Linked DNA regions of Saccharomyces cerevisiae S288C. The protein of the gene in region 1 purifies or fractionates together with the protein of each later gene. This does not show direct contact. Each region holds a gene or a part of one and is shown in the gene's direction. Other genes may lie near its edges.

What was found.
Region 2: the proteins of EFG1 (region 1) and NSR1 purify together in Saccharomyces cerevisiae (affinity purification with mass spectrometry, with the first as the bait; 2 studies listed by BioGRID). This does not show direct contact.
Region 3: the proteins of EFG1 (region 1) and RPS31 purify together in Saccharomyces cerevisiae (affinity purification with mass spectrometry; 2 studies listed by BioGRID). This does not show direct contact.

The regions. Positions count from the first base shown.
Region 1 is NC_001139.9:1,037,125-1,040,371, reverse strand, and holds EFG1 (Efg1p), read left to right. Parts: upstream 1-1,870; coding exon 1,871-2,572; downstream 2,573-3,247. Other genes in the region: TAF1 (histone acetyltransferase), read left to right, coding at 1-477; YGR273C (uncharacterized protein), read left to right, coding at 1,133-1,657; SLH1 (RNA helicase), read right to left, coding at 2,678-3,247. UniProt on the Saccharomyces cerevisiae protein: Involved in rRNA processing. Required growth at elevated temperatures, resistance to hydroxyurea and for cell cycle progression.
Region 2 is NC_001139.9:805,797-809,478, reverse strand, and holds NSR1 (Nsr1p), read left to right. Parts: upstream 1-1,822; coding exon 1,823-3,067; downstream 3,068-3,682. Other genes in the region: RTS3 (Rts3p), read left to right, coding at 59-850; exosome non-catalytic core subunit MTR3, read left to right, coding at 3,458-3,682. UniProt on the Saccharomyces cerevisiae protein: Involved in pre-rRNA processing. Specifically binds nuclear localization sequences. Candidate for a receptor at the nucleus that may be involved in both RNA and protein transport. Binds telomeric sequences of the type (TG[1-3])n in vitro.
Region 3 is NC_001144.5:497,169-500,043, forward strand, and holds RPS31 (ubiquitin-40S ribosomal protein eS31 RPS31 fusion protein), read left to right. Parts: upstream 1-1,778; coding exon 1,779-2,237; downstream 2,238-2,875. Other genes in the region: exocyst subunit SEC10, read right to left, coding at 1-876; UPS2 (Ups2p), read right to left, coding at 2,410-2,875.

The DNA.
Region 1 (3,247 bases):
AGAGATGATAAGAAAATTCTGAAGATTGTTAGAAAGAAAAGAGATGAAAATGGTATAATTCAAAGGCAGACAATTTTCATAAGAGATCCTAGGGTCATTCAAGGATATATAAAAATCAAAGAACAGGATAAAGAAGATGTTAACAAATTGTTAGAGGAGGACACTTCAAAGATAAATAACTTGGAAGAACTTGAGAAACAGAAAAAACTGTTGCAACTAGAATTAGCTAATTTGGAAAAATCACAGCAACGTAGAGCAGCAAGGCAAAATTCGAAGAGAAATGGTGGTGCCACGAGAACAGAAAACTCTGTGGATAATGGTAGCGACCTTGCCGGTGTAACTGACGGGAAAGCAGCCAGGAATAAAGGTAAGAACACTACAAGGAGATGTGCTACATGCGGACAAATCGGGCACATTAGAACAAATAAATCTTGTCCAATGTATAGCAGTAAAGATAACCCTGCTTCACCAAAGTAGATTCAGTATAACGATGTATTGATCGAATAAAACTTTTGTAAAGGTTTTGTATAATGTAACAATAAAGAAATGTACACTATGTTTCTAAACACTGGCAGTGATCAGATTGATAATTTATTGAGTCATATCCTTAAACGATGGACGTGGTGTGTGAATGTGCACTTTTGCAGTAAGATGAAAAGTGCATATTATTTGAGTTCCATTAATATAGCCCAACTCACTGATTAAACACAATAATTGTTGTCTTTGTGCTCGAGTATTTAAAGCTTGTATTTTTCCAGTCTGATTGGAAATCACAGAGGTTAAAACATAAAGGACAATAGCAGAAAAGGTTCCCTAATATGCATTTTTCATACTGGTTGCTCTTTTCCTTTACAAAAGCAAATTCTTACTCAAAATTTAATCTTTTTCCCTATAGTAACCTGTTTGTCTTGATAAATATAATATGATTTATGTAGTTTTATTACTATAATTATATCAAAATTTTAATTTGTGTCTATTTTTTCCTCAACTAAGTTACCTTTTTTCATTTATATGCATTTGTGACGCACTCAAAAGTGTGATGCTGTCGTCAATTTTATAATGTTAAGAATATTAAAGCAAAAGTTTCCTAAAGTAATATCTGAAGTGCTCTAAAATCATAGTTTATCAAAAAATGCAACATTTCGAAAGTTCAGATAAGATAGAAAAGGATGATGATACATCAAGAATTAAATTACGCTCTTCTTCTTTGGCCGCTCCAATCCTCGAGGCTGTTCAAGAAGCCCAGCCTTTTGAAGAAGCCACTTTCTCTAACTTACAGAAGATACATCCGTTAACAGAAAACTCAACTTGCAATGGTTATGTTATTTACGATAAAGATGGAAATTTGAAATCCATGAAGGATACATTTGGTAGGAATATAAAAACACCTGATATTTCAAATCCTACAAGAGCAAGAAATGAAAGGCCATTGGATACAATACGTGGATTTGAATACTCCATAACAAAAGATCCCCGCTGGTTGCAAGAGCTAGAAACATCTAAGTTGGGATTTAAACCTAGACCTGGATTTGCCGTCATTAATCAAGACTCACAGGCTTCAATAAATTTATCTCAACTGGAAGAAAAAGTTATGGAAAGCCAAAAAAAAAAGGAGAAAAGACACATATCACGGCTTTCTCGGTTACTCTGCAGATGAATATAAAGATAAGTACGCTAAGATTATAAAAAGTGCTTGAAGCTCAAAAATATGTATTCCTTTAATTTCTGCGGTACCCTATGCCGGAGCACTAAGAAAAACACATTCAAAAAAATTTTCATACTCATCTCATCTCTACAATTAAACAATACATAAAACAAATATCGTGACTTAGTTATTTTACTTATATCATTCAATAAACCTAATCAATCAATGGCTAAATTACAGAGGAAGAGAAGCAAGGCTCTTGGGTCATCTCTAGAGATGTCCCAGATAATGGATGCAGGAACAAACAAAATTAAAAGAAGAATAAGAGATTTAGAGAGGTTATTAAAAAAGAAGAAAGATATACTTCCATCCACAGTAATAATAGAAAAGGAAAGAAATTTGCAAGCTTTACGGTTGGAATTGCAGAATAATGAACTCAAGAATAAGATTAAAGCCAACGCTAAAAAATATCATATGGTGAGATTCTTTGAAAAAAAAAAAGCATTGAGAAAATATAACAGATTATTGAAGAAAATAAAAGAATCTGGCGCAGATGATAAAGATTTACAACAAAAGTTGAGAGCCACTAAAATTGAATTATGTTACGTGATAAATTTTCCCAAAACTGAAAAGTATATTGCACTATATCCGAATGATACACCATCTACAGACCCAAAGGGCGTAGAATTGACAAATCTTAGAAGAGAACAATTTCTTAAATTAGTAGCTGAAAGAATGGATGCGAACACCTTAAACGTATCTTTCGAAGAGATATTGAAGGGAAAGAAATTGGATGAAGATTCCATCGGATTAACATTATCACCTGATAAAGATCATGAGGATGGATCACAAGTATCACCTACACAGGATAGAAAAGAATTGGATCAAGTTGTGGGAGAAGATGAAAAGGATGACTTTTTTGAGTAAAAAAATTCTAAATGCGTTATGTAAGAAAATATATACGAAGATGTATACTAGATAGATTTCCACTGTTATCTTTCACAAAATAATTGTTGTTTTAATTGTGTCTCACTAAGAGATTAGTTTATGGACCATATCATAACGTAATCCTAAAGCGTCATTAATAAGGGAAAATTGCAATTCTTCGCCACGAATTTCTTCGGGAATAAATAGATCACAATGTATTATGACCTCTTTATTCATTTGTTTTGGTTGACACCTTTTAATCATCAGCAGTTCATCGCCTTTGTGTCCAATTAAAAACCATAGTTCTTTTTGTATCTTAGGGAATTTATCACAATATACTTCAAACCCATTATTATGCTTACTAGAAAGGTGCTTGCTATAAAATGTTAACACCTCGTTATTTTCCTGTTCTTCAAATTTCATGCCTTCTAAAACCGGTAATCTTTGGCAGACACTGACGAAACGTTTTTTCGTATCTTCGCTTTCTGTCATTCCAAAAGTTAGTTGATCAAAAACATTTAATAATTTCTTATATCCAAACCTTCCTATTTCCTCCAAGGTTAACAGCTTTTTCTTCTTTTGCTGCGGCGTCATTTCAATGAACCCCTGCTCGCTAAAAGTGTAATCTTTGATTCTTCTCAGTTGTAATCCTGGAAGTACACTAACAGGATCGTC
Region 2 (3,682 bases), 230 kb from region 1:
ACAGATACATACATACGTATAATTCATCAATCATAGCATTAATAGAAGATAAAGTATAATGATCGCTACCTCCAGAGCCGTAAACATGAATAAAGAATCAAAACACAAGAAGGCTGTTGCCAAACCATGCAGAGAGAGACAAACTTCAGTTACAAGAGCCATGAGACCAGCTGTAGCACGTGATCCTCGCAGACTTTCGACGTCGTCGTCTCCTTCTTCGTCACCAATGTCAGCACAGAGAAGGCTTTCGAGGGAAGAAATAATAAACGAAATGGAAAAGGAGCAAGACGCTATTGTAGTAAGACTTCTACGGGAAATTGAAACTTTAAAAGAAGAAAACTCTAGGTTAAAAAATCAACTGCACCATCCGGTCCCGGCTAGAAGGTCGTCTCCATTTTTCGAAGGCGAGTCTGCCATCCTAGATGATGATGACTGCAATTATGGTTACACCCTCGACACTCCAAAGCTAAAGCTCACAGATGGTGCATCCAGACACACCGTACTTCCCTTAACACCCAAGGACTCCATGACCCACATTTCCCATTCCGCCAGAAGGTCAAGCCGGAACGCTTCCATATCTAACGGAACAAGCATCTCAGACACGATTTTCCCCATTGAGACTAAAATCCACTCAGCACCAACAACAAACAGAAACCTTCCCTCCGCCGATCTTCCACATCACACTCTTCTTCCACGTTCTCTAAGCGGCATTTCGTCTAGCGATTTAACCGAATCCGGTGCTCTTCTTCATGACAGGAGAAGGCGTTCTTCCAATTACAGTCTCGATGGCTCAAACTCTTTAAAGGCTGATCTCATGGCAAAGAGATTCCAAACTGGTTCATTGAAATAGGCTGTAAGCGAGATACATAAGAAAACAGAGTTTCTCTAAATATATTCTTCCTATTGATCTTTGGCAATCCAACACATATGCAGTTCGTGCACTTGCGTTATAAGCGTGACTTCTCGCTTGGTTTTTTTTTATAATTTTTTTTTAAAACCTCATTCTAAGTACAACTTTGGCGTTTTTCCAAGCTACTACTTATAATTATATGGTTTATTTCATAAATATATATATATATATATATATATATAGAAAATCAATATACATTTAAGCCTTACTGGAGATGACACTATTTTTGTTCACATTTTTTCTTATGCTCTAAATACCTCGGCCTCATACGCAGAGACAGTGTTGATATGTTTTTATACAAAGTAAAGGCAAAGAGAAGGCACAGACAGGATTTCACAGGCAGCTAAGTAATAACGAATATGCTTGCTTCACATATTTTGCCGCCAAATTACACGCTATGGAGCTACGTTCTACTAGTGGTTACTTACCGCTAGCTATTTAAACCCCATCACGTTGATTGTCTATTTCGCTATAGGTTATTTTGCCAAGAAAACTTACTGGGCAATACTTACATCCATTCAGATTTTTGGATAAAGCAATTGAAGAAAGACGACAGCAATTCGACTGGTGGTTGTTAATTACCCTTTGATCCTCTGATTTAAAGACGTAATCCTTCCTGGGGGTAAGTGCCTGATGTATGGGTCCCCATGCCCTTTTTTTTCGTTTCTTTTTTCACTCCATTTCTTTTTTTTTTTTTTTTTTTGGTGAAAAATTTGCAAGGGCAGCTCATCGCAAGAACGAAAATTTTCAATCCAATATTAAAAGTACTTAAGTGTAGCTGTTGCTGTCTGCACTTCCCAATCCATTGGTACCTTAAGTTATTTCCTTTCGTAGTATTTTTCTTACTTTTGCTTCCCAAAGACGAACTGTTAACCAATTTCGGATCACTCAACCCAGGCAGGATAAAATAAGATGGCTAAGACTACTAAAGTAAAAGGTAACAAGAAGGAAGTTAAGGCTTCCAAACAAGCCAAAGAAGAAAAAGCTAAGGCCGTCTCTTCCTCTTCCTCCGAATCTTCATCCTCATCTTCATCTTCATCTGAATCTGAATCTGAGTCTGAGTCTGAATCTGAATCTTCATCTTCATCTTCATCCTCTGATTCTGAATCCTCTTCTTCATCGTCTTCTGACAGCGAAAGTGAAGCTGAAACCAAGAAGGAAGAATCCAAGGATTCCTCTTCCTCTTCCTCTGACTCTTCTTCCGACGAAGAAGAAGAAGAAGAAAAAGAAGAAACCAAGAAGGAAGAATCAAAAGAATCTTCTAGCTCTGATTCATCCTCATCTTCATCTTCTGATAGCGAAAGCGAAAAGGAAGAGTCTAACGATAAGAAACGTAAATCTGAGGACGCCGAAGAAGAAGAAGACGAAGAGTCTTCCAACAAGAAGCAAAAAAATGAAGAAACCGAAGAACCAGCTACTATTTTCGTTGGTAGACTATCGTGGTCTATTGATGACGAATGGTTGAAGAAGGAATTCGAACACATCGGTGGTGTCATTGGTGCCAGAGTTATTTATGAAAGAGGTACCGATAGATCTCGTGGTTATGGTTACGTTGATTTTGAAAACAAATCTTATGCTGAAAAGGCCATTCAAGAAATGCAAGGTAAGGAAATTGATGGTAGACCAATCAACTGTGATATGTCCACAAGCAAGCCAGCTGGTAACAACGATCGTGCCAAGAAATTCGGTGATACCCCATCTGAACCATCTGACACTTTGTTCTTGGGTAACTTATCTTTCAATGCTGACAGAGACGCTATTTTCGAATTATTCGCTAAACACGGTGAAGTTGTTTCCGTCCGTATCCCAACACATCCAGAAACTGAACAACCAAAAGGTTTCGGTTATGTTCAATTCTCCAACATGGAGGACGCCAAGAAGGCTCTAGACGCTTTACAAGGTGAATACATTGACAACAGACCAGTTAGATTAGACTTCTCTTCTCCAAGACCAAACAACGATGGTGGTCGTGGCGGTAGCCGTGGTTTTGGTGGTCGTGGCGGTGGTCGTGGCGGTAACCGTGGATTCGGTGGTCGTGGTGGCGCTCGCGGTGGCCGTGGCGGTTTCAGACCATCTGGTTCTGGTGCTAATACTGCTCCATTGGGCAGATCAAGAAATACCGCTTCTTTCGCTGGTTCAAAGAAAACATTTGATTAATGAGAAAATGAAATGAATTTCAATTTCAATTTTTTCTCTTTTTACGTTAATTACTATATTCCATTTTTGAGGAAAAATTTGGTCTATAATATTTTGTGTACATTAGTAAGTAAATAGGATACATTCTTAAACCTTTCATTCACCATCTCTATTTGCCAACTTTTCTTCGAATGGCTTACTCTTTTTTTTTTCACGATGAGATGAGATCGCTAGATACGGAAGATTACAAGGCCTTGGAAAATACTCAAAAAATTTCAGTAATATGAAATGAATATCTAAATAAAAGCTTGGGCGTTGTGCTTGATTGAGCCACGAAAACTTCCTTTAAGGATTAGCACATACTCCACTTAAAAGTAGGAACATACTCACATTAAGGTGTTATCAGAATAAATGAATGTTCAAGACAGAAGGAGGTTATTAGGCCCTGCTGCTGCCAAGCCAATGGCGTTTAGCAACACTACTACTCATGTGCCAGAAAAGAAATCAACAGATTTGACACCTAAAGGCAATGAAAGTGAACAGGAACTTTCTCTACATACCGGTTTCATCGAAAACTGCAATGGATCTGCATTAGTAGAAGCTAGAAGCTTAGGACACCAAACATCGCTCATTACC
Region 3 (2,875 bases), on another chromosome or scaffold:
ATTCTCAAATTCATTTTCCAAGTCAATCTGCTTGGTGTCAATGAAATAATCGTGCTGATTGATGAAGCTTTGAATGACATTAACACCGCCATTAAAATTGTTGAGAATGATGGCAATTTCATTTAATTTAGTAAAATTATTCTCTCTATATGCAGAATTAAAATTCTCTAACAGCTCATTTTCCATCATTTCAGAGTACTTTTCAATAACCAGCTTTGTGTTTATTGTTTTTGGTATTGAACTTGTCTCTAGTTTGGATGATAATATCAATAGATTCTTCATTAATTTCACGGACTTTAAGTTTAATTTCCAGTTTTTAGACAGCCTTAATTGTTCAACAATATCTGATTTTCCCATGGAATAAAAGTCATTGTACCTGCGAATCAATTCCACACTTTGAATATAGTTTTGCTTTTTCTTGATTGCGGTTTCTAATTTATCTCCCAATGGCGAAACAACTTGAGTAACATTTGTCAAGCGATCATCTAGCTTGTCGAATGTAAGTAAAGTAGTATGCAAATCCTTGGATAATTTTATCACATTCTCCGAATGAATAACTTCCTGAGTAGCCACTTGCTCGGAAAAATACTGTCTTTTATTTAGTGTTTCCTCATTTAAGTTTTTTAGTTCCTTTAAGGTAGATTCAAAAGTTCTAATGTAAGGTTTTGGATCTAATTGTTTCCAAATAGCCTCTCTGATTGCATCCTGATCCTTTTCATTGGTTGGAAGATTTTTCGTGTTTGCATCAATCAACACGTCATTACGATGGTCTTTGCTCAATTCCTGAACGAATTCATTGACTGTTAATCCGCCCAGGAAATTGTCCGTTTTCAATAGTTTCTTCCATTTCGGATCGAGTTCATATAATGAGTTCATGTTGTAACACCACTTGATGACAAAGCAAATTTGCTCAATTTTCTATATCCCTTTAATGCATGAACGGTTCTTTATTTTGTTTTCTGTCGACATTCTAGTTTTTCGGAATCTCAAAATAATTAATTACATATACGTACATAAGTAGCCCAGATAAACAAAAATACCTTAAAAAAGAGTTACTAGCCGTATATGGATGTTTGAAGATACATGGAAACCGTCTCTGGTGTCGTGTATATAAGAAACTTCTAGTTTTATTCAGACGCACTCATTATCTTTGCTACATAACATTTCTCTCTGATTTGACTGCGCATCTTACCCCTCCCCCATGCATGTGGAGTCATAGGAGTAATTTTAAAGGTAGAATTTCATATTAAATATCGCTGCTTGATTATTTTGTAGCAAATCAAAAGAGTGTTTCAAGTAAGTAAAAACATTTGAGCCTCCCCATTTGTTGAAAGGAGAGAAATTAAACTTGGTTGGGGTTAATTATTTGATGGGTATATTAATTTGCAACCGCAAGGTATCGATAATAAATATTCTACAAAACCTTTATCAATAGTGGTGAAGTCTTTAGTGCGATCTACCTGGGGTTAATGAACGAGAAGTTCTTGAGATATCTTTCCTGTTTACCTCCGTGCATCCTGTAAGGAATTGGGTTTATCATTTATCATTTATTTTAGTACAAACTTTTTTTTTTGGCCCGGGCGCACTTTTTCAAGCGGTGGGAACTCATCAAAATGAAAAACTAGATACTTTTAGACTTATTAAATGGTTTAAATATTTTGAGATGTTCGTTATATCAGAAACTTCCTTACTTCTATCTTTTATTCCAATACAAAGAAGTCACAAGATTACTTGGTAAGAAAGAAGCAGTTAATTTTTAATTTTGCCGACAAGCCAAGATGCAAATTTTCGTCAAGACTTTAACCGGTAAGACTATTACCCTGGAAGTTGAATCTTCTGACACTATTGACAATGTCAAGTCCAAGATCCAAGACAAGGAAGGTATTCCACCTGACCAACAAAGATTGATCTTTGCTGGTAAGCAATTGGAAGATGGTAGAACTTTGTCCGACTACAACATCCAAAAGGAATCTACTCTACACTTGGTCTTGAGATTGAGAGGTGGTGGTAAGAAGAGAAAGAAGAAGGTCTACACCACCCCAAAGAAGATCAAGCACAAGCACAAGAAGGTCAAGTTGGCTGTCTTGTCCTACTACAAGGTCGATGCTGAAGGTAAGGTTACCAAATTGAGAAGAGAATGTAGCAACCCAACTTGTGGTGCTGGTGTTTTCTTGGCTAACCACAAGGACAGATTGTACTGTGGTAAGTGTCATTCCGTCTACAAGGTTAACGCTTAAGTAAAGTATTTTTAAAACTTATATATTTTAATTGATCGTTAAATTTTGAAAAAGGCTTTTAATATTGTCATTATTTACTTTTCTATTTACAACAAAAGAACAAATGAATAGATAGACAGTAGAGGAATATAAGTAGTATGCAGTGCCATGCGGGATCAAGGAATTTGTATCTCTAATTTTCGTGGTTGTATGCGTCTCTAAACAAGTCAATATTTTGCTGTAAGATGGTTCTGCCGCTCCTTTCAGTTCCTTTAAGAAGCGTACCTGCAGATATTTTAACATCCTCCATGGTTTCATTGACTTTACTGACAAGTTGATTGCTCAAGTCATCAACATGTTTTTCCCAATTTTCACTAAATACTTGCAAAACAGCATCGAATCCCATTTTACCCTTTTTAGCGTTCTCGCAAAACCTTTGAACTGACCAATCTTCCATCTTATTACACAGCTTTCTAATGGATCCATATGCTGTAATTTGGGCTTCCTGCTGGAAAAGTGTTTTATTAGCCGAGTCATCGGGATGCGGGCTATATGTTACAGTTTCGTAGACTTTTAATAGATTGCACATCGTTAAATTACAGCTTCTCATGGTCAAGCTCTTTTTATTTAAGTCTACCACAGAAACTTCTCTGACATGA